2 linked regions of the Arabidopsis thaliana genome follow. The protein of the gene in region 2 interacts with the protein of the main gene of each other region in a pairwise test. Each region holds a gene or a part of one and is shown on either strand. Other genes may lie near its edges.

Region 1 (13,161 bases), on a different chromosome or scaffold from region 2:
AAAGGGCTCACGAAGCTCTTCTGGTCTACAAAATCAAAAACAACAAAATCAACAACAACCCAACGAAATCTTCAAAGATAAACTAAAACAAAATCAAAACTTTAAACCAAAGGAAGAGAATTTACCTGCAATCAAGAGGAATGTTACGAACCAAGAGACTTCCATGGCTAGATCCTCTACGTCCACCACCACCACCACCACCACCATATCCACGTCGAGGAGGAGGAGGAGGAGGACTTCTACCTCGACCACCGTATCCTCTCCTCGGAGGACTGTAATAAGGCGGACTGTATCTCCTCATCACCTACCATAGAAACAAAACGATTTCAACGCAAGATCCTCAATTTCATCAAAACAAAAACTTGTTTCTTGGAAGAACAGTGATAAATTAGGGTTTACGGTCGGAGGATTGTGGAATTTACCTGCGACGGAGTTAATTTGATCACTTGAGAGTAGCAATGTTCAAAGACAGATCTGAAGTGAACCCTAAGCCCTTCTTATGAGAGATCAGAGAATAGAGAAGAAGAAGACAGATCTTTTTCTATTGATCGGAGAGCTTGGCCCATTTATTAAATGGGCTTTTGGCCTTATCGCGTTTTTTCCTTTTTCGCGTATGTTTTTTTAAATGGAAAAAGGGAAAGATTGTTGATTGTTGACAATTAGAGAAACAGTAAAAAAAATTGGGGAAAAAACAGTTTTAGTAACTTTTAACATTTATGACAAAAACAAAGTAACCCTTAAATATATAAGTTTACTGAGGTGACTTGTGTTTTGGAGATTCTCGTTCTAAATTGATATAGGAATTTTGAAAACCTCAAATTGAGTTAGTTCTTGTTCTAAAATAGTGACTTATTTGGCTATGTTGAATAGTTATTGATATTGATTTAACTCGAGATCCATTTTGGCTTAATTAACGTAAAATTTATTTATTTCTGGTTGATGACAATGTTCATGGAATTTGATATTTATGGTATTTTGTGAACTTCGGAATTGATATTAATGTTACATTATGAGTTTGTTGTACTATTCTGTCTGTTTTTGGCTACAAGTTATTTATGATTCAATCATCAACTATACTAATTAAAGTCATTTTCATAAAAACAAATCAACTTGACAGAAATTAGTTACATATATAGTAAACTAAAATGTTAGAAGAGAGTGGAATTGATCACTACCACATTTTGGCATATATCACCAAACTATAGATAGAGAGAAAACAAGTATCTCCAAATCGAATATTTCAGGAGCAAAACTATAAGCAGTGTTACAAAATGTCAAAATCACTTCGCACAATATTACAATACACAAGAAGAAGACATGAAGAGTACCTAACCAAGTAACCTTATATTTCCCTCTACCTACTACAATCCAACGGTTTTTTTGTTTAAACCGTTTCTCTGGTACTTGTCTTCTGTTTTCAATCCCACAAGTTTCTTGGTATCCTTAACCTTAAGCGGGTCAACATTGGCCGGTTTAACCACGCTGTCTTGCAGCTGTACCAAGGCTCGAACCACTTGGTCCATGGTCGGACGTGATTTGGGTTCGAATGATAGGCATTGCACAGCAATGCTTGCCAGTCTCACTGCTCCTTCGGGTTTGTACTGTGAGTTAAGCCGAGTGTCCACAATTAGTAGAACCTTTCGCCTGCTTGTGAGGTATGGTCGAGCCCAATCCACAAGGTTTTGCTCCTTGGCCGGGCGGTTATGGTCTAGTGCTTGCCTTCCACATAGTAGTTCTAGCAGAACAACCCCGAAACTGTATACGTCGCTTCTAGCATTTAAGTGGCCTGAAAAAAGATAGAAAGATGAGAGAACGAAACTAGCTATCAACCCATATGCTCCTTTAACCACATAAATTTTATAGTTGCTATCTTCAAATTTACATTAAAAACCAGTGTTAGGCACCATGCAACAGTCTTACATTTTCTTATCCAACCATTATTACTTGCATCATATCTTAGTGACAGAATGTACCTGTTGAGACATACTCAGGAGCTGCGTACCCAAAAGTACCCATGACCCTTGTACTAACATAACTTTGTTCTCCCATTGGACCGTCTCTCGCTAAACCAAAGTCTGAAAGCTTTGCGTTGAAGTCCTGTTGTTTGAAAGACAAAACTCAGTATCTTTTAAGTCGTTGATAAAGACAACAAGTAGACATCGAAAGAGAAGAATACCGAGTCCAGTAAGATGTTTGACGCCTTGATGTCTCTGTAAATGACTTTGACGGGATCACTATGAAGAAATGCAAGACCTTTAGCTGCATCAAGTGCAACCTTAATCCGTAGAATCCAAGATAGCGGCTTAAAATCCTTATTTCCATCTTCAAAAAAATCATTCAAACATAAGAACAAACAACCTCTCAAAGTTTCACAAAACATGGACGAGATCAAAGACTCACTTGCAAACAGATGATTCTCAAGACTACCCTTGTGCATAAACTCATACACAAGAAGCCGTTGTTCATCTTCCAAGCAATAACCAATCAATTTAACCAAATTCGGGTGACTTAACTGCCCCAAATAGTTAATCTCTGTCTGAAACCACAAAAAAAAAGATCAATATCAGAACCTACACACACAAAAACAAAAGAGTGTTATAAATCAAAGATAAGAAACAAGTGTTGTACCAGCCATTCTCGGTGACCTTGAAAACCATCAGGGTTAAGTCGTTTAACAGCAATAACAAGACCAGAGCTAGATTTGGTAGGAGTAAGAGTAGTCTCATCAAGCCAACCTCTAAAGACACAACCAAAGCCACCTTCTCCAACAACAGAGTCCGATCTGAAGTTTCTAGTAGCGAGTTTAAGTTCATTAAAGCTAAAGCTTTTGACGGTCGTTGAGCTAAGGATTTCTCCTTCTGTCTTATGAGCTGTAGCTGATGATGAAGATTTACAGCTCGAGAGATGAAGATCATCGAGACCACTACTGCTCTTATCTGCACAACACACAAAAGCGTTGACCACAGTCAAAATTGAGAGAACGCCAAAAAAGGGGAAAACTTTATTCAGTTAGATCACAGGAAGAAGATTCTTGCAAATTTCATTCCTTTTCTTAAAAGCCATTATCGATTAACCAAAAAGATCACGGATTTGAAGAGATACACATGTGTGAATCACAAAAAAAAAAAAAAAAAAATGGGAGATGGAGAATTGTAGAGAACGTACTAAGGACACGAGAACTGAGACAAGAACCCATTTAGTAGAATGATGAAGAAGATCGTTTTTTTTTTTTGCACTTTTCTCTGACAATGAATTTCTTCTTATGCTGTTTTTGGGTGGAGCAGATTCTATCAGATAAAACTCATTAAAGCGAAATAATAAAGAGAAAAAAAAAAGAGAAAGAGAAAAAGTAAACACTGAAGAAGAGAGAGGATGAGAGAAGAGAAAGAGAAGATGTGTGTTGATGAGATGGTAGAGGCAACCGAAGGAAGAAGAAAGGTCTTTTTCTTGTCCAAACAAAAAAAAAACGAATTCAGACAAAAGTTATATTTTTGACCAAAAGATAATAAACGAGTTCTAAATAAAATTAGTAATAACAATTTAATGATCAGTGGGACTTTTCTATTGTATGATTTTTAAAACTTTTGAAATTCATAGATTGATTTTGATGATCTTAAGCATCTGAGTAAACGTGCAAAAAGATCACTAATGATATATGTTTAAGATTCAAAATAACGTTTTTAATAGATATGACATCTGAGTCAGATGGTCATGAGATTTTGGAATCTTTAATAGGCCTGAAATAAATTCGCCGTGGTGGGGTTGGATACAAAAAGAAAGAAAAAAAAGGACAAATTTTGTCGAAAATGATAGATATTCATGTGATCATAGATATTTTCGATTTATATGCTTTGGGTGTGGAATGATGAAACAGATTCGGGTTTAGTAATAGTGGTCTCAAAAATGTTTATAAAAGTAGGTAAGAAAATATAAGATTTGTAAGAACTAAGAAAAATATCTACTTAACCAGGAATTAAATTAAAGTTTACAAGTAGGTAAGAAAAATAAGATTTTTCAGGAAAAAATTATGCTTGACTACATACGTATAATGTAATTAAATTTAGTATCATGGGATGGGACATAAGTTTTATAAATACAAGTTTTTAAAACAGAGAAATTTTTTACCAAAACTTGTTTTGAGTCATACGGACCCAAAATTACTCTATTGCTGAAATGATCGATGACTTAGTCAAACCTCCATTTCTAAGGTCACAATTGTTTGCTCGTTACGCAAATAAGTCCAAGGTCAACTATATAATATAATACTCATAAAAATTCAATCCCTACTTTCTTAAATATTACTCAGAAATAAATAAAATATAAGTCACCAGAAATGTGGGTTGACTTGGGAGATAATACGTTATCACATTTGTAGCTGAGTCACATATTGTGGAGTTTTTATTGGCACTAGTTGGATTTTCGTGGTCGGATCAAAATCCATACACATTTTCATCATACTGAGTCCAATTTTTTAATAAATGGTTTGAACAATTCTGACATACGGGAGCTCTTATTTTGGACTTAACCGTCTCTTTTACATTATCACTTTAGTTCCACTGAGCCGTTTTACTCAAATTACATAAGCATTTTGTTTTCTACAAACATTGACATTCCTAATACAATGAGTTTCTCCATGAAATTTCTTTTCCTTTTTTACTCTCTACATAATAATTTCGTAATGTTGGACATTTTTCAAGATGATGACAATAAAGTTGAAAATAATAATGTTCTAAAAGCTAAAATGTCAAAAATGACAGACCAATAGGCAAAAAGCGATAAAAGGGAAAAAATAAAGTCATTTCCCACTTCTCCTGTATTCTCTCGTCATTTATTTAACAAGTAAAGCCATTTTCAAAGTGGTTGACAGCATGATTCAGAGATCAAGCATGACAAAATACCAAAGTCTAAAATGGAACAAACAACATATTATATAACACACAGGTTTATGATCGGACGACATTAGAAATAGGGGTTTGATCAAAAGGCCCGAGGGGTTATGAACTCCAAACACAGATTCTCTGAAGAGTTGAGAAGACTGTAAAAGGAAGGGATTTGCAAATTGCAAGTCCACAGCTAAATAAATGGCGAAGAAAATGATTGTTGCGTTCTCAAAACAATATAGTAAGAGAGAAACTTTTGCCAAATACAACTGAAGCAAAATGTATCATATCATAATACCAACTTATTCATTTTTTCAGAGTTGCGACTGGAAAAGCAAAGGACTTTTAAATTGCTTAATGAGCTCATTAGGCACTTTTCTTCACCTCTGCGGCCTTAATGATGTCGATAAACTCAGGCTGCAAAAAGACCAAGAATGAAAACATTAGTCATGGTTTTGAAAGAGACAAACGAAAGATATCATTACAAGAGAAACCATATTATATGTACCTTTAGAGAAGCACCACCGACCAAGAAACCATCAACATCGGCCTGTCCACCTAGCTCCTTGCAGTTACCACCATTGACGGATCCTGATAATAATTTGCATAATCAAGCTAAGTAACATAGAAAACTATATAGGGGTGTTTAATTAAAGATCGTGTTATCATCTATCTACCTCCATAAATGATGCGGGTTGTAGCAGCGACATCAGCACTCACGTTCTTGGCCAGCCATTTCCTCAGCTCATCGTGTACCTGTTCATAAACGAAACAAGCTCTCGTAAGGAAAACAGCATTGGTTTTCCTATTAAATCATGACCATATGCAACACGTTACAGTGCAACTGCGCATCGAGAACCACTTACTTCTTGAGCTTGGGCTGGGCTAGCGACCTTTCCGGTTCCAATGGCCCACACTGGTTCATAGGCTATGACAACATTTGACCAGTTTGTCACCCGATCTGCCATTACCAACAAAAAGAGTTTTTTAGCCAACAAATATTTCTGTGGGGTTTGAATCACACACTAAGGGAGTATAGTGCGTAGAAACGGGCATCACTATCATCAAAACAGGTCTCACTGTAAACGAGAACGAACTGAGATAGCAAAAAGAGATTAAATGTTTGACAATATACATACCGGCAATAGCCTTGGTCTGGGCAGCCACAACATCCATGGTCGATCCAGCTTCCCGCTCCTCAAGAGTCTCACCAACACAAGCAATCACTTTCAAACCTTGAGCAAGTGCATAGGCAACCTTGTCTCCGACGAACTACAAATGTAGGATAGAGGTCAAAAACCAAAATCATGAATTTAAAAGCTATTTGAGTCTCCAGAAAATTATTTTATCATGTAAAGTCACCAACCTCGCTTGATTCATTAAGGATTGCCCTCCTTTCAGAGTGACCAAGGATAACCCATGGAATATCCAAGTTCACAAGCATCTCCGCACTAAAACACACAAATTACACAATGCATAAGAGCAGGAAATACAGGCACCACAGAATATATCTTTTCTTCCTATGAAAGCATTCCATAGACAGGTAAATCATATTACACCTACTTGTCTAACCAGGCACGAATCCAATCATGGTCTTACTACCAACTACTAGTTGTTTTCTTAATCACTTAGGTTACACAATTCTTATAGGAAAGAAGATAAAGAAGAAGAACAGATGGAAAAATCGATTCGTTTATAAACACAATCATATTCATTTTCAAAACCATAAATATTTACTGCATGAAGCAATAATGGTAAAACAGCTTAAAGTATACACCAATGGTTAGAATCTCACCTCACTTCACCAGTGAAAGCACCTCCTTTCTTAACCCAACAGTTTTGTGCCGCAACAAAAAAGTCAGACCTCAATGTGCTCTTAACCAGGGGAAGAAAAACATATGGAGGGCTAACCACAACCTCTGCATTTAGTAAAATTTCATCAAATTATTAATACAAGAACAAACATACTTATAACTATCAACAAAGATAGAACCATAACAAGTATATGATAAAGAACATTTTAACTAACAACAAACACTAGATCTATCCATGGTTCCTAAGAAGCATAAACACTATAGAACATCGATGTACATTGAAACAGGTTTGTAATTGTATGCCCAAAATATTTGTCACTACTTAAGATTTCATAGACATGGAAATTAAAAAAAAAGCCATAATGTCGTCAAAGCAATTGAGATGCTACACATACCTACAACATCCTGTGAAGGAACCTGAGCTTCATTAAGAGTGTTCACAATCTTCTTCACCTCCTCAGCAGTTCCGTTCTATATAAGATTACAAATTCAAATATTAACATGTTAAAATAGTTTAACCAACAAAATTAACACACGGATCCACCAAAGCTAGAACACGAGATATCAATTGAAGAAAAATTCCTACTCAAAATTTTGACAAAAAAAAACAACTAAGATCCGGCATAGAATCGACAAATCTGAACCATATGCATTACAATTCAAATTCCACCGCTACAAATAATGAAAAAAACCTTAGATCTTAAGATCGGGATTTTCCGATCTCTTTGACTTGATCGGGGAAGGATCAAGTGACAAGACTAATAATAAGGTGCGCAATAGAAGGTAAAGATCACTTACACATTTCCAGTTGCCTCCGACGAAGAACTTTCTGGCCATTATCTCAAATTTTTTTCAGGCGATGATCACGAGAGTCACAGATACGACGACGATGGAGAGAGCTGAAAAGATTAGATCGATAGTGTTCAGTGGCCGTTGTCTCTCGCAGGGGTCACTCATATATATATAAATAAAAATATACTCTCAACATTTTAGATTGGAAAAGACGCATATGTCTAGGGTATATGAGAATATTCCCTGAACGATTAGGAAAGTTGAGGATATTAAAGTAAATTAGGAGGGAGGATGAAATATTATGGACGTGTTGGCCAAGGTTTGGTCGGTGTACCGGGTGGGGTGAATAATAAGAATAGACAACGGCGTGGATAGTGATGCTGTTGTATGGGCTTTAGGCCCATTAAAGCAAGCACATCAATAAAACCCAAGTTTGGTTAAAGGAAAGCCTATTGAGATGATTCTGAAACCAAATTATATTTGTATTCCCTTAAAGATAAATTCTGTATTACGCAATTCTTTCTTTTTTTTTCTTTTTTTTTTTTGGTAAAAGTTTAAATCGTATTATGCAATTCTATATTGTAATGCCCCTTCTTGGATACAAATAGTGTGGAGAAGGAGAAAACTGTTGTAAGTTCTCAAGTTAAACTACTAAACCACCATGAGAGCATTGAGCCGGCTCACTTCAAACATTGTGGCATACTTCAACAAACATATTGTTAGTCTAAAGGGCTATCGAGTGGCATCGATTATTTTATGTGATATCATTAAAAAGTAACAATGGTAATTTGTTATTGCAAAAAATAAGGATGGGATTTAATTAAAAAAATACAAAATTACGTGGTTTGTGTGTGTGTGCAATGAGTGTAACCATGTCATTGAAAATGACAATAAACTGTTAACAATGAGACATGGACGCGGATCTTCTTTTCCCAAAGAAAGCATAACAAATGGCTAAAGCGTGTCGGTAAAAGTTACTTCGAATCAGCTTCCTCAACAACATCTTCATACTTCGAATCTCTTTGACTTTGGTCCGTAGTGTTCAAACTCCAAACTATTCCTCCTACAAACACGTGTCCAATGGGCCAATGGCATTATCCCAAACCGCGTCGATCTCTCTTCTTTTTCTTTTCACTTAATATTTAACCATATACATTTCGTTGATACATCAATATTACTAATCGATTTTTTTTTTAGTTTTAAGTTTAGCAGTAAAAACTCAGATAGTCTCCTTTGACCTCATTAAGAACATCTTTTAATAAACGTATCCAAGAAAAAACAACACTCGATCTCTCTTTTGTTTTCTTAACTTCACTTTAGTTCCTTTTTTTCAAATATAGTTCATCCGTATCTGGATAAAATTAGGATTGTAAAATTACGATTAACAAGAAAGAGGTATATTTTTAGATTAAACTTGGATAGTATGAGTATTTACCAGCCAAAAACCATTAAAGAAAAAGATGACAAATTGATTATCCAAACAAAAGCAGACTCTATAATTAGCCAAATTAATTAACTAAAGTTTCCACGGTCACAACAAAATCCACTTTTTCAATAATTTACAACGGCCTAAATTTAAGCCGACGCACATGAAAAACAAAGACAACACAAACTTCTTCTTTTATTTTGCTTTCCACAAAATCCAGCTGTTCCTCACTAAAAATATACACACGTATACGCTATACAAAACGGTCATATCTATTAATTTTTATTATAAATACTTTCTCGATAAGAATAAAAAAATCTATTCGTCGTAATAATAAAAACACAACTCAAACGATTCACGGGTTTCACTTGGAATCGTTTGGTTTTCTCATTTCCGAAATATAAAAAGATGGCCAAAGCGCCACCGTCAATCTCTCTTCTCCTCCTCCTCTGCGCCGCCGTATTCCTCACCATCCCCGCCGTGATCTCCGCCATCGGTGTTAACTACGGAACTCTCGGAAACCTCCCACCACCGACTCAGGTGGCTAACTTTATCAAGACACAAACTTCGATTGATAGCGTCAAGATCTTCGATGTGAATCCCGATATCCTACGTGCCTTCGCTGGAACTGGTATCTCCGTCGTTGTCACCGTTCCTAACGGTGATATTCCGGCGTTGGCTAACGGAAGACAAGCTCGTCGGTGGGTTTCGGTTAACATTTTGCCGTTTCATCCTCAGACGAAGATTAAGTATATCTCAGTCGGAAATGAGATTCTGCTCACCGGAGATAATAACATGATCAATAATCTCTTACCGGCGATGAGGAATCTTAACAACGCTTTGGTTCGTGCTGGTGTCAGAGATGTTAAGGTCAGCTTTCTCTCTATTTTTCAGATTTTTCTATTTTAAGGAATAAGTAGAATATTTGTTTGGTTTTGGTAAATAAAATTAAAGTTAAGTTTGATGTTCATTATTGTATAAATTTCAGATAAAAAATTTTGAAATCTCAACTTTGAATTTGATATTTGCTAGTGGGAAAGTTTTTTTTTTTTTTGTTTACTTAACTTTTTTACCTAGTTTTAATTTTCTTTAACTAAAAGAAATTGTAATTATTAATAGTGAATTGATGATTGGCGTGAAAAATGCACTGTTTTTTTTTCTTTCCCTTTTTTATATCAGAGATAATGCATTGATTGCGCATATGTATAAAGTTGAAAAACAACGTTGAAAAAAATATGCAAAACAAAAATTGATTATTTTGAAAAATTAGATTCAATCTCTATTTTTTCGTCTGTTATCTAACTTGAAATCCAAAATTTCACGCAAACGTAGAATGTTGCGTTTGCTTCTTTCTTTTTTTCATCCAACTTGTATATTGTTAGTTTCTTAAAAAGAGGAAAAAAATAAATTCCCAAAGCAAAATTCAAAGATTTGAAACTTGAAAATGTTAGCGATTGGATTAAGATCTGACCATTTAGACTATCCCACGTGCTTATCTCATCACCGTCCAAGGTTATCCTATTGTCCTTAGATTCGTTCATCTGTCTGCCATGCCTTATGTTTCCTTTATTACATCATGATATATGTGATCCTAGGTAAATGAGATAATGTACCAATTTCATAGGAAATTTAGACCAACATGATTATCATATGAAAATTGTTGGAGATTGGTAGGTAACAATTGATTCTAATACTACTATTTGTTGCAATTGATCTCAGGTTACAACCGCACACTCACTTAACATCATAGCCTATGACCTGACCGGTGCACCAAGCAGCGGTAGATTCAGGCCGGGTTGGGACAAAGGCATATTGGCTCCAATCCTAGCTTACCATCGCCGAACCAAGTCACCTTTCATGGTTAACCCGTACCCTTACTTTGGTTTTGACCCCAAAAACGTCAACTTCGCAATTTTCCGAACACCGTACAAGGCAGTCCGTGACCCGTTCACCCGCCACGTCTACACCAACATGTTTGATGCACTCATGGACTCGACATACTCAGCCATGAAAGCTCTTGGATACGGTGATGTTAACATTGTCGTTGGCGAGACTGGCTGGCCATCTGCTTGTGACGCACCTTGGTGCTCGCCTGCGAATGCTGCTTGGTTCAACCTCAACATTATCAAACGTGCACAAGGCCAAGGGACACCTCTCATGCCTAACAGACGGTTCGAGACATACATTTTCGGTCTCTTCAACGAAGAAGGCAAACCCGGTCCGACCGCAGAGCGTAACTGGGGACTTTTCCGAGCAGATTTCTCCCCGGTTTACGATGTTGGTCTTCTCCGAAACGGACAAGGCGGTGGAGGCCGCCCAGCATTGCCCGCACCTAGTACTGCCGGCGGTAAATGGTGTGTAGCGAGGTCCGGGGCGACGAATACTCAGCTGCAAGACAGTATTAATTGGGTGTGTGGTCAGGGTGTTGACTGTAAACCGATCCAAGCTGGTGGTTCGTGCTTTAACCCGAGCAGTTTGAGGACGCACGCATCTTTTGTTATGAATGCTTATTTCCAGAGCCACGGCCGCACTGATGGTGCTTGTAACTTCAGTGGAACTGGTATGATCGTAGGGAACAACCCAAGCAATGGTGCATGTAAGTACTAAGGAGATTGTCTATGTAGTAGTATTTGTCTGGAAAATCCTAACATAATGGTTCTGAGGAACTTTGGATTTGAGAGATCATCAGCTTTGTGTTTAATTTCGGATTATCCTAATTTTAAGATTTTTTTGTTAATTATTTTTTCGCTGATTCCTTTTATTTAAATAAAGTGGAACTTCCATAAAATTTGCTTCAGCGTTACGCTTAAAAACATTGATTTGTGTGACTTGTGATCTTTATGTTGGATATAGATGGTCCATCAACCTATAAAGCAATATAAGCGTTTAGAAACATAACCTTATCTACAAGATAATTATGTCTTTCTAGGCCATGAGATTAGCATCAGTTGAAGATTTCTAAATGCCGATTCCTCGACCAATCATACTTTGACCCGACAAAGGTTTAAAAGACTAAGAAATATGACAATGTGTAGTAGTAGTATCATTGGACAACTATGACATGTTGTAAAACTATGACTTTACATTGTTAACATATCTTGACATGACAATGTTACAGAATTGTTAATATATGAAATACTGTAGTAAATTCTAGTCTCATTCAAATCATATTTGGGTGAGACCATGTAGAAGTAGACATGTAATGTAAGTGTGCGGTTGTGACCTGAGATCAATACACCAATACTAGATTGTAATGTGCAGAGACATCACAACTACATAGAAAATATAGGATAACATACTACCCTTAACACTCGCTTCTTCTAACTTTATTCGGTTGATGCGTCATATATGTATAATGACACTTAAAACTAAGCTCTGAAAATCATAACATATACTAAAATGATGATTTATAGGATCTGAAGAAAAATCTTATTGATAAAAAAAACATGTGAAATTAGAAAAAACAAGAAATTTAATTTATATGAAAAAATTGACTAACTAATGAAATGTAAATATTTTTCATACATATATTTCTCCAATCTTCCAATTCTTCCACATTTTTTAAGATTTACCTAAGAATTCTAAGTGAGATTCAGCTTCTGATCACTATGGATGAAATGCACGAACAAAACCAACCCAACTCAACAGTTTTAATCTTATTCATACCAACAATCTTCCACCCAAATCAAAGAAAAAAATACAGGAAATTAATAACAAACAACCCCATTATGGAACCAAAAATAAATAATAATCCGAACTTTTTTTTCTATATCAACAAAAAAAAGGAGTAAAAAGAAAAGAAAAAAGAGAAGAGGGCCCACTTGTATAATATTGTTCAAAGTTCAGTGAGCCATGGCAAAAGGAGGACAAGAGCTGTAATTAATACTTTTCTGGTGGGGCATTACAAGCATTGCGGTGTGATCCATGAAATCTTTCAATGCCACCACCGCTTGTAATATTACCTTTAAGTCCTCCGCCGCCGCAAACCCTTCATTTCCGGCGTTTCTCACGGCGTAAACGTAAAACGTGATACAACCTTTTCTGAACTTAAACCTTGCCATCTCCCAGTTCTTTAACTTTCTGATCATCTTCTTGTTCACATCTCCCAATGGAATCTCCGATGGCCAGATTCCTCCTTCCGCCGCCACAACGGATGATTTCATCGCCTCTGTTTCGAACACGAAGACCACAACTTTGGACTTTCTTGTTCCGAGACCTAGTGTTAGTGTGTGCCATGCGTGGTGTGCAA
Region 2 (12,593 bases):
TCTTGTATGGCTTAAATCCTGTCTGTCTCGTTTTAAGACTCTTGCATGTTCCAACACCGATCATTACTACTCCTTCTTGGTCTGCAGCACAAGAATCCTGGCTTTTGAAATTAGGAGCCAATGGCATTGACGTGTCACTTTGTTTTCTATTCACATTCTCTGCCACTTGAGGAGGCGAAAAGCTTTGAGGCAATCTTTCTCTTGCAAAGAGAGCCTGAAACGCTATACGACCCTGAAAATATTTTGATAGTGTTAGTTCCCAGAAGAACTCTGCAATATCCATGAATCATTGGTTTTTGTTTTACCTCTTCGGAGACTTCCTTCCACGAATCAGTAGTTGCATTGTTGTTGCTGTTGTTGTCTCTCATTTTAATCTTACGGTTATTTAACTCAATAACATCTGGCTGATTCTCATCTGTCTCCTTCACATCCTCTTTATCTTTCTCCATTTTATCTAATGCATCAGTTTCTGCGTCACTCCCTGAAGGTGTATTTGAGCCACAGGATGAGCGGTCCACAAGATTTTTCTTCTGGGCAGTGTTTGAGTCATGCACAGCGGCAGTAACAACAACCTCCTCAATTTTATCATCATTGGTTTTTGAGTCGGCATTTAGCTTGGTTACTCCAGTCTCATCTGAATCATCAGATGATGAAGCTGGAGATTTCGAAGCCAAGTTTTGATCTTGCAGAGCTGTGTTTTGTTTCTCAAACGGTTGAGTATTTTCAACGGTATCCATTTCAGTCATTGCTGGAGTTGGAACTGCAACAGTTGAGAATGGAACACATGTTATTGGAGCTGGAGCGCATACAGGAAGAAGTCCATGAGAAGCCCACCAAGCAGTTGCAGCAGCTACTGTAGCAGCGGCAATGGCAGTTATACTTGGAGGAGAAGAGCTCATTGGGGTTGATGAATCACCAGAATTCCCGACACTCGCATAAGGCCAGACCGAAGCAGCGAATGTAGCTGCAGCATGAGCTGCAGGATTCTGTAGGAGAGTTGACATAATAAGATTGGAGAAAGTAGATGATATCTGGAGAAACGAACGGTAATCATCCTGTGAATGACAAGCTGGAAACGCTTGATGAGAAGCTGTAGTAGTAGCAGATGCTGTTGTAGCTTGAAGATTTGCGTGCCCGTGAGTTTCTTCTCTCATAGGATGAAACATGAAGTCTTGAGATACCATACCTGAGGGATGATTTTGAGGGCATTTTGCTATATTCCCGTTCACAATATCTGCGTGGAAATGCCAAGGGTAGTTTTGCATGCTGTGCACAGTAGTACCATCGTTACCATCTTTGTCTTTGTTCTTCTTGGGAACATCTTGAACCGCGTTGTCCACAGTTGAGGTCTTACTTGTTTCAATGTCGCCACTTACCTGCTAAAAATCAGAATGGAACAAATAATTTGTCATGCACTTGAAAGCATTCATCAGATTCTTCGACTACAATTTTGTAGCTTTCTTAGACTTACTTTCGTTGGTAAGGGATACTTGTTCACAGTAGAAACACCCGAGCAATTCTCATCTTGATTTTCTTTTCCAGTTGATGTTTTCTAACCAGAAAATAAAACATAAGAAGTCTATCACAAGACCACCAAAATGATAAAATGAAGAAGAGAAAGATCAGGAATAAACCTCAGAGAACGGCATTTTTTCCAAATCCAAGAACGCCTGATTCAACTGTGAAGAAGAGGCCGATGAAACAAGTTTTGCATCTTTTGCTGATGATACTTGAGAGGAAGATGTACCGTTGTTCCCAGGCTTTCGAGGATAAGGAGTATTGGGTTTTCGTTTAGGACGAGGAGGCGGAATTTCTATGTCCAAAGCTTGGCAAACAGGGATGCCTTTAACTTCAGCCTCTTTCTCCAACTGAAATGTGAACCAAAAACTGTGAGCTTTTCCAAACTGGAGATGGAAAAATGCAGCTCAGATGTGAAATCCTGAGATTCATGAAATTGACCACATCACCAAGGTTGAAAAAAGTCTTATACTGACCCGAATTTTTCGGGGTAGAGATGATAGAGTTACTTCATGTCCTGTCCTATAGGGCAAGGAGGTTTGGTTTCCATATGGATGGCTAAAAGAATTCATGCAATCCCATTATTTCATCGACTTTAGTGAATATGGGACAATTGTGTCATCCAAATGCAACGCTAGTTATGTTAATTTGGACCTATCTTATGGTCTCAGAGAAGAAAGCTCTCTGTAGAGTTTTTTCTAACAGTAAGTTTGGACAGACCAATCTAATGTTAAGTTTAGTTGAACAGAGTAAATGAAAAAGATAAAAAACGATCGAGATGCAATCCTCGGAACCAACCAACTCTACTTAGCAAAACACACTCTACTTAGACGCCTAATTTCTAGTTGAAGCAATTAGAGAAAAGGAAGAATAAGAAGAACCTTCTATCATCTTTTCCAGACAGTGACAGGCAACTTCTAAACATAGTCATAGATCGATATGAAAAAATGGTACCTTTACACAAGATAACGAAAGTGTTTTAAAAAGATCTGAAAGGATCATCAACTTACCTTTGTGAAGAACTTTTGTGCATGACTTCTGATCTGAACAGCAGTCTTTGTCCCAATATGTTCTGCACACAAAATGAAAAGAAAAGAAGGAATCTCCCAATCAAGAGGAGATAAAGACACTCCTAAACAAAGGAATATAAAATCTCAAAGAGTTCAAACTAAACATTCAAAAGATAAACTTTCGACCTTCAATTCGTTGCCAAGCTCTTCCATAAAGCCTCAAGGCTTCTAGAAACCTCTCATGCTCATCCTCAGTCCATCGCTCTCGCTGCTTTGTTATTGTATATGGCTTTCTTGCCTAAACATTTGAAAACCCAAAAGAAAATCAAATCTTCACACAACAACAGTCCAAATCTCTCAAACAAAAAAACACCAATCTTATTTCATTAGTAGTAGTACCTTAGCTAATAATTCTTCTCCAGATGTATTAGTATCCATAACAGGACCGGTGCAGCTATTCGCTGCTTCAAATCCTCTCTAACAAGTAAAGTATAAAAAAGAAACCATCTTTGATCTCCCCAAACATGAAAGTTTTCAAATTGCAAAGCCGTTGTGATAACCTCTTTAGATTCTAGAGAAACTGCAAAGGAGAAAGTACTTTATGAGAAATATTTATCCACAAACACTAAGATAAGAGTGATGAGCGAAATTCAAAAGAGAAATCTTTTCAAAGTCCACCGTGAAACAGTCGCTGCTTCTCCAGCAGAACTCAAAAGAATTCCCTTTATTATTATTCACAAAAGCCTCACCCAAACGAATCCACCGCAGCCAAAACCTTCACAAATCTTCATATCAGTAATCAATCACCAGATTCGTATCATTTATGCTAACTTTTAGAGCTAATAAGATTTAGTTAATCGCTTCTATAAGTTTCTCAGCAGCCAAACAGAGATCTTAGTATGTTATAGGAATCCTAGAAACTGCTCATAATGTAAACTGTTATACCCTTGAGAGTAGCCATGGAGGAGACAAGTATGCAATCTGACTTATCATCTCACCGGGAACTCCCCGGAGAAGTCATCGTTCCCGGAAATAATCAAATCGGAAGCAAAACAAAAAAAAATCTCTAAAAATAAATTTAAAAAACAGAGAGAAGAAGGAAGAAGATAACTGAAGAAGAAGAAGAAGAAGAAGAAGAAGAAGAAGAAGGAAGACTGTTTTAGGCTGAAGAAGACTGGAAGAAGAAGAAGAGAAGCCAGAAGCAATCTCAGCCACAACAATTTTTCCCCTAATTTTTGGAAAAATTTTAATTGAAAAGTTTATTTGAGGCTGGAACAGCACCAAGGGTATAAATGGAAAAAACAGAAGTCATCGCAGATCGACACGTGGTGATATTGTAGTGGCTGTCTACTGCACTTTTTGGTATATCTCAAGTTGCTTCTCTACGAGCCAGAAGCTTCAATGTGAAGCTCACGTAGGTAAAAGTGAGTGTGGTGGTCCACAATTGCTTACGTGTAAACGATTATTGGTACAAACTTGGACGACTAAACAAGTGGGTACGGTGCCAGCTGTGATGGTGTACTGCTACGTATTGGCTATGCTGGATCTGGGCTTGTAATAAGACATTGTATGGGCCTCACTTTTACGCCTATTCTATATAAATTTGCGTATTAACATAGTTGAATTAAACCCGACAAGCTTGGACTGCTCGGGGAACTTGCGTCTGTATAAAAATCTTCATCTTTTCATATAATATCATGCAATGCCTATACAAAATTTCAACAAATTATCATCGAGAACTTTGGTCAACTTGCTTATATAACATTTGTAGAAATTAAGGAACATTAATTACTCTTAAGTCTTAACCGAAGCATGTAGTATTTATTTATGGAATTCAGCAAACATCATTACACTCATTTTTTTAGATTCCAGCTTACAACTGTGTTTTGCTTAAAGCAGAAGCGTTTAACATAGTTATAGATACTCTAATGTTGGAGCAGAGCTTAGTTGCAATATTTTTTGAAGTTGACGGCCTCATCGGTCAGGAAGCCACTACAAAAGGTTACCGAGAACTTTGGTTAGTTCGGTTCGGTTCTAGGTTAACCAAAAAACAATAGACCAGTTTTTGTTACTAACCGAAGAACTGAACTACCCGAATCTAATTGAAATAACCGAAATTATTCCAAAATAACCAAACAAACCGGATTTAAATATTTCACAAATCTCTACGTTGATGTTTGGAATTATAAAATTTTATCTCTCATTACCTCTCCTTAAACATTAACTAGGACATAACAGTTATTTGAAACATACATTAACAACAATATAATTAAATTAAACGGGCGACTTAGAGTCGTTATCCTTATTAGGAGTAGTATATTGAGCTTCGTTATCCATTCCTGAAGACAATGCAGTTGATGATTCCGTTTCTTTGTTCTTCCCCCACAAGAACATGTAGAGACCCGTTATGGTCACTAGTGATCCAATCACACTGTAGACCAAAAGTTTTAATGTTGTAATTAGTGTTATGCCTAGACAAAATTAATTTGATAGAGATTATCGAAGAAGATACCTTCCAAGGTATAAAGGAGTGTGTAAAATGAGGAAATCAAATAGAGTAGCCGAAATGAGAGTAAGTGGGAAAAACGCCGATGCGAACACAGCTCCTAATTTTTTAATCCCCCATGTTGTTGCAACCGTCGTCATTGCTTGTCCTACCACTCCCTATAATATATGATAAAAAAAAACCACATAAAAAAACCCACATTAATATCTTAAGTTCTTACATACTAATCTTATAATTTTTAAAAAGTTAATTTATAAAGATATGATGTTTGTAACTTACAGCGTATATGATGACGGTGATAACGAATCTATCATCTATGATCCAATCATTAACGTCTCTGCTCTTGTAAAGGCTCAAGAGAGCACATTGAAATGCCGCGAAAATTGACATAAGACAAGTGCTCGAGTATTTGCAAGGGTACTTAATACTTAAAGTCCCTTGAAACAACATCCATAGAGATAGCAACACTGTTCCTATGGTTAAATAAAGACATCCAAGAAGCCAATTATTGGCCTTGTCTTGATCGTTGTTGTTGTGGGAAGCCCCACCGTGAGAGTGAGAGTGAGAGTTTGATATTTGTGGGCCTTTGTAAAATGTTAAGAACAAAGCTCCACTTATACAGATCAAAGTTCCAATCACCTTCAACATTCCTGCTTTGGTCTTTAGAATCTTCACATTTTCAGTCCTAAAAAAAGTAAAATTTTAATGATTATTTTGAAACAAGTTATTGAGAATATGAATCATAGTAGAAAGTATTTGTTTTTTTTCTTTCCTGGCGTTACAAAATAGAGTCGCTTTTTAATAATTTTCCGCATCATTCCATCAAAGTTTATAAAAATGCGACGTATAGCTAAGAAAAGACATTTTTTCAGGAAAAGCTTTAGAAAGAGGGCTCAGTGGATGCAGTTACGTATACTTAAGGTAATTTGATGGAAAAGAAAACCAATCAGATTGCATTACAATTAATAAGAAAATATAATGTTCTATATTATGTTGTCAATACTTTCAGTAGTGCTTTTTAAAAATCTAGATTAATATATATTATCAATTGATGATAAAGAGGTTAGATGGTTCCATCGTTACCTGAAAATAAGGGCCAAAGCGAAGGTGATTGCAGGCAACATGCTTACCAAAGCACACGAAACAGTTGCTGACGTGTACGACAGACCAAGCAAAAAGAAAAACTGCATCAAACTCGCCCTGTCAATTTAAACCCATAAATTAATTAAAAGATCTTTAATAATTTAGCTTATGATTAGTACAAACTATTAAACTATAAGAATAAATTGCAAATGGCCGACAAAATAATATAATAAAATGCAATTAGGTTTGAGAGGACTAACCCGAGAAGGCCACTGACGAAATGATCGACCATTAGCCTAAACGTTATTTGTGGTCTTGTTTTCCTATTTAACAACAATAGAAATTCTTTAGAAAATTCATTAAAATTATACATATATATTAACATTCGTGGCTTCTAAATTTCTACTTGCATGTTAGAATACAGAATTTTCACTATCTCCTATTTCGATCAACATATCAAACCTTTCCAAGACATAGGCAAAGGGAACCAAAATTAAAGCGGAAATAGCCATTCGATAAGCACCAATGACCATATGGTTCACACCAACATCAAGAGCTTTCTTCACAAGTGCATTCACCGAACCCATCGCTACATTTGACATCACCATCACTATGACCGGTGAATATTTTTCTACTACTCTCACTCCTTGCATATCTCCAGCCATATCTCTCTCTATATGTGAGTTATTTTTGTGTGTATTACTTAGAGAGAGATAAGCCCCAATGTGCTTTGAGTTTGGCAACCACAAAGCTTCCCATATTTATAAGAAAAGTGTGTATGTGTTGTTCCACTTTGGACTTACTTAGCTTTGACGTTAACGTTAACCTATATTTTTATTCTCCTGAACTACTTATCTAAAATCTTACTACAGCATATGCATTTGTTTTAATGAAAAGTTAATCAAGCACTTCATACTACACCCTTTAATTTTTTATGTGTACAATAGGATTTTCAAACGTTTAAAATAGCATAACATATTACTATATTCATCATATATCCAAATACTCTTTGCAAGATTCTAAGGAAATTACATAGGTACATTACCACGCCGAAGCATTTGATTTTAATCTAACGAATTCGTTAACTTTTTTTTTTGGTGAATTACGAATTCGTTAACTTGGCATAGATTAATGTTCCCACAACCTGTTATATATATATATATATATATATATTTTCTTCTTTTTTTGATTCCACAGCACAGTATGTAAATTTCGTTTTGTCCGGCAAATTTGGCCTTTACCATAATTTTTTTCACCGCCTTCAGTGCCGTAGACAAATCAAAGCTCAAAAATAATTACGGAGTTTTAAATTATTTCAAATGCTATAGTAAAGTTGTAAATATATATATATATATCAATTAAACTCCCTTAACCCCATAAGACAAGTTTTTTTATTAGTGGTTTTACTGAAAAAATGATTATTGGTGTTATGTAAATGATAATATATTAAGGAAAATTTTTAGAACTTTTATTATATATTATCGTAATATACGACTCGAATTTAAAATAGAAATCAAAATAAAAGTGTTAGTAAAGGAAAAAAAAAAAGGTTGTGAATTCTATCACGACAAGTCATATATATTACAAATATCATTTTCTGTTAAGGTTAACAGAAAATTCTAAGTTGCGGTCTATTTGTCTTTTAAATCAAACACGAATGAGAAATTGCCACTCATTTACTAATATTATATTGCGTATTCTTTGCAGATTATGTCTCTTTATAATCATCTTGCAAATTGACCCTTAATTTTAACATGTGGGTGGTAAAAAAAAAACTAAAAGAAGAAACATTACTATTTCCATTGATAAGATTGATCGCAATCTATCTAGATTGAACTTGACAAAACTTTTGTGATACGAAAAAAAGAAGGAAAAGACAAAAAGGAGTTGGTATTGCTATCTGAGTTCGAGTGCATGAGTGGTCGTGAAAGTGGAATTAATTTGGGATATGCCTACTTATGCATGGCTTCAGAGTTGGTTTGACATAATTTTTCAGAAACAAGTGTCTAAGCCTTTCATACACGTCTTGATTTTAGAAGTTAGACTGATTTTCTCTATGTTCATGAGTTACTTTAAGTGGGCTAAGACCATCTTTATCAATGGACTCTTACATGTAGTTCTAAACAATTTTGATATATAACATAATGTTTAAATATTAGAAAGGCTCTTACAAAAGAAGAGAATAAGGAAGAAAACTCTTAGCTAAGAGCCATTTTTCATCTCAAGCACACTTTTTTATTTTTTTTTATTCTTATTTTGTTTAATATAATATTTTAATAGTTCTTATGATATTGTTAACAACCTATTGATAATGATGCTCTAAGAAGTCTAAACGTTTTTTTCTATCTAGACAAGTATCTTTTTGAAGTTAAAACTAATGTTAGTTTACTCCTTCAAATATAGTTTGGATTTAGAACACTGAAAATATAGAACTTGAAGTTGAAATTTTGTTTTCCTGATATTACAAAACTATAAATCGAGCAAATTTGTACTTGTTAAATTAACAGAATATTTTTTCTTACCAACTAGCTACAACTATTGATCTTTCTTACAACTTATAAAATGTAATTTATTACATTGTTTATAAATTATTTAACTCATTAAATGCATCAATATATAATAATTTTATCTTATACATGCATGAACAACTTAATAGTTTTTTTTTTTAAACAACCTAATGTTGTCTAAACGATTAAATGGTTTAGGTGTTAAGGCACAGAAATCATCCTCCATTTACCTCATGTTGCTTTTCTTAACACCAAGCACTAAACAAGCGCTAGCTATACAACTTTGGCAAATGAAAACTCAGTCGGAAACTAAATGTTTGTGTTTTTTTTTCACGACATGTTTTTAAGGAAAAGAAGAGAATTTTTGAACATAATATCGAACAAACCCACTAAAAATAGTTGGAGGGAGCAGAAAAGCAATTGAAAGTAACGAGACAAGAATAACGTTTTTAAAAAAGTTAAGAATATATAGTGTGGGTCGACATGTACCTCACTAAGTTTTCTAATTTATAACTTCTATCTTCGAGCATAATTGGGAATTTTGTGGCCACTAATATCGCAAAGAAATGTGTATACTATTATATTTGATGTGAGGACTGAAATTACAAAATTTATTGAATACTAACAGATTATGATAATAATTACCACTAAAATTCTTTGATTTTCTTTTTTATATTTTAATCTTAAATAAATGGATGGATCAAAAGTTCAAAACACTAAACTATAGTACAACATTACTCACGGATTCTATATCACAGCATAAAACTTCACATAATTAAAAAAAGGTTTACATCTCTCGCGGAAATTCTTAGCATATGATTGATTCTTCATCCACCAAGTAAGTTATTAATTTTAGGTTAAACAAAATTCAAAAACTTTCTTAAGAATTTTGTGGGTTATATATACTTCCAGCCTGAATAAAGGTTGAGTAACTTGGTAAATCTTGATCTCCATTATAGTTCTAATTTTGCTTTCTGTTTTTAATTTAAATTTTGGATCAATAAGAAGAGACATGCATGTGTTTCCTGCAAAACTCCGCGCAACATCGAAACTTTCTCTTCTTATTTTCAACATAGATGTAGGGAAAGAGATAATTACTGTTTAGTTTATTCTAATTTACTAGAGGAAAAAGGATTTAGGGAGAAAAGGTAAATTAAATATTCATATTCTTCTTAGATAGATCAACCACTGACAATAATAACAAAGAAGCCACTAATAAATATGCACGATGACTATTTTCTAAATCAAACGTCATATTTGATTCAGATTCGAGAAATGACTGGGAAAAAGAAAACACTTTTGAACAAGATAGACTAATCATAATCAGGTGAGATTTGTGACTTTCACAAAATAATTCTCCATCTTAATTGTTCGCATCTTCATTGGATCCCTTTTACACTTTTTTTTTTTTTCTTTCATTGGATCCATCTAGTTTGCACTACTTATATATGTGGTATATATAAACTTTAATTTTGAAAGTGTAATAAATTTAGAGTGATATCATTTAGCCCCCCGATGGAGGATTGAATTGTCTCGAACTAATGCGTAATGCAACACTATGGTTTTGAATAGTGAAATAGGAAGATGCGAATAAAAAATAGAAACGTATAAACGAAAACAATAGTGTATGTAATTAGGTGAAACCGTGAAAGTGGCGAACGAATCATTAGCATATAAGAAGAAGATTGTGTCCACCCTGAGTTAGATACGAATACTTTATGTGTGAAATCTAATTGTTCACGATTTGACTCTTCAGAGTTTAAAGGCTGGCTAACAAGTTTAAGCTGCGTTTTAGGGTTTGGGCCAATAAATTCAGCAATGAACCGGTTTTAATGGCATTAATAGCCCATAGTGAATGTTGCAATCAAGAAATAGTTATAAAACCATGTACATGGGTGATATTTTTAGATTATCACAAGTACAAAAATTATTTTTATATTAGTAAAGCAATTAGAATATGCTTATCAGTATCAGCCCACTGATATTTGTGATACCAGTATCATCTGACGTGGCTTCTTCTGATTGGTTACATTTGACAAAAGCAAAAAATATTATATATATTTATTAAACAAACATTATAAATAATACTAAAAAATATTCTTGATGATATTTTGTGAGTATCACCTATGAACATGCTCTAAAGATCAATATCTTAAAACAAATTTAGTGATATAATTAATTGAAAAAGTTTGTATTTTCTGGACTGAATCACACTAGGGTTTGTGTGATTTCTGGTGTAAGAAGGTAAAAGGAGGTAGTTATCAGATGGGCCCACTTGAAATCATTTCACTGGGCCTAAACAAATATAAAGCCCATTTATCATTTATGGCCTTTTTCAGTCTCCTCCCGAGATTTAAAACCCTAGTTGGTTGATCTTCTCCAACGGGGAATGGAATCGGAGAGTGACGAAAGTCGTGTGTGGATCCTAAATCCTTATTCGGGTCTCCGAATCGGATCCTCGGAGTTAAGCCTTACAAAATGAAGATGCTAATGGTTCTGTTTTCTTTATTTGGAACCTGAGTATTGCATGCACACCAAGTGTTTGGCAAAATGTTAGAGTGAGACGACAGTTGGGGAGGTTTGACGATTATCTTTCATTTGTAGAGTAGATGAATCGAAGAAGAAGATCGAAAAGAGAATTATACAGGTAGATATAATGGGTGATAAACAAAATCGAGAAGGATATAATATGTAAAGGTTACTTGTCGAAGAAATCAGAAGACATTCATTACACATTGTTTGTGTCCAAGAGATGTCTTTGCAGCAAAAGCAGAACAGTTGGTTTACGACTCACTCTTCTCGATACCTTCTCTGACGATGATTCTGCGACCTTCATATTGCTGCAAAAGAGAGATTGTGATAAAGCCAGAGAGCAGTAGAAGAAGTTTCCTCAAGCAAGATTCTTTTTATGGATAACGAACTTAACTGTTCCATTGAATGATAAAGCCGCATCACGTTCTTCACCGCTTGTAAAAGAAAGAAAGGCAAAGACTCTGTTTCTCCCGGTCTTACGATCATGTAACACTCTCGTGCTTACGATTGTGCCAAACTTGCTAAAGTGGTTTCTCAAACCATCAGGCTGTGTGAACCAAGGGAGATTTCCGACATAGACCTTGTGTTGGCTTTCGTACATCAGAATCTTCTTTGGAGTTGAGTTCAAGACTTCAGGGTTTCTTCTTGTTCCTGGATTCATGTCAACAGAGTACCTAACCCGCATTTCCCGACCACCTACTTCCTTCATATATAGCAACAAAACCAAAGCACTCAACTTTACACTCAACCAGAAGAAAGATAGACTTGTTTTTTGGTTTCCCGGGCTCTTACTGTTCCATCAAGAGAAGCAATGGCGATTTTGGCAGAGTTTATAGAACCCATTGTCACGTACCCGCTTCCACGGCTCTCTCCCGTCTGAGGATTTCGCGATACCTGCAACATCATTTCCAAGCAATGCACACCTCTCACTATACTTGTCAATCATCCATATACTCAAAAGAGTAACCAGTACGTTTGATTCGTCTTGATGGAACTCAAAGCTAAGTATTTTCAAATTACATTGTGGATGATCTTTGAATTTTCAAAGCTAAGTTGAAAGAGTAAAACTTTGAATTTTCATAAAGGCATTGTAGGATCAATCAAATCTGGATAAGAAGTACCACCTCTACAGAGATTACAGTTCCAAAAGGCTGAAACATGTCAAGAAGCTGAGCAATGTCGTAGCTTCTAGGGATATTACACACGTAGAGCTCGCAAGGTCTCGGTTTCTTTACTGGTTCTGCTTTGGAGACGACACTATCTTTATTGGGTTCTGCTTCTCCTTTAACTACTTCTTCTTCTTTTTCTTCATCGAGAACTGATAATTCTGAAGAAGAGACCTTGATTTGAAGTGGTTGAGCTACAAAGGGACGAGAAAGAGAAGAGTGATGAAAAGAATTGGAAGAAGAGAATTGAAGTTTCAGAGATTCTAAGTAA

What was found.
Region 1: the proteins of UMAMIT28 (region 2) and TPI interact in a protein complementation assay, tested with the Arabidopsis thaliana proteins (one large-scale study listed by BioGRID).

The regions. Positions count from the first base shown.
Region 1 is NC_003074.8:20,548,164-20,561,324, reverse strand, and holds TPI (triosephosphate isomerase), read right to left. Parts: upstream 7,923-13,161; 5' UTR 7,532-7,922; coding exon 7,493-7,531; intron 7,166-7,492; coding exon 7,090-7,165; intron 6,800-7,089; coding exon 6,676-6,799; intron 6,332-6,675; coding exon 6,247-6,331; intron 6,153-6,246; coding exon 6,020-6,152; intron 5,842-6,019; coding exon 5,747-5,841; intron 5,637-5,746; coding exon 5,558-5,636; intron 5,472-5,557; coding exon 5,389-5,471; intron 5,298-5,388; coding exon 5,247-5,297; 3' UTR 4,765-5,246; downstream 1-4,764. Other genes in the region: SCL30 (SC35-like splicing factor 30), read right to left, coding at 1-25, 126-301; PBL1 (PBS1-like 1), read right to left, coding at 1,362-1,786, 1,974-2,097, 2,177-2,322, 2,401-2,536, 2,629-2,999, 3,118-3,196; AT3G55430 (O-Glycosyl hydrolases family 17 protein), read left to right, coding at 9,321-9,782, 10,632-11,519; AT3G55420 (uncharacterized protein), read right to left, coding at 12,755-13,161.
Region 2 is NC_003070.9:34,096-46,688, forward strand, and holds UMAMIT28 (nodulin MtN21 /EamA-like transporter family protein), read right to left. Parts: upstream 6,923-12,593; 5' UTR 6,783-6,922; coding exon 6,580-6,782; exon of another isoform or gene 6,503-6,579; coding exon of another isoform or gene 6,441-6,502; coding exon 6,378-6,440; intron 6,235-6,377; coding exon 6,118-6,234; intron 5,720-6,117; coding exon 5,314-5,719; intron 5,193-5,313; coding exon 5,041-5,192; intron 4,960-5,040; coding exon 4,803-4,959; 3' UTR 4,349-4,802; downstream 1-4,348. Other genes in the region: LHY (Homeodomain-like superfamily protein), read right to left, coding at 1-232, 306-1,379, 1,472-1,552, 1,635-1,868, 2,529-2,590, 2,715-2,826, 2,928-2,966; AT1G01080 (RNA-binding (RRM/RBD/RNP motifs) family protein), read right to left, coding at 11,408-11,464, 11,551-11,859, 11,949-12,050, 12,278-12,593.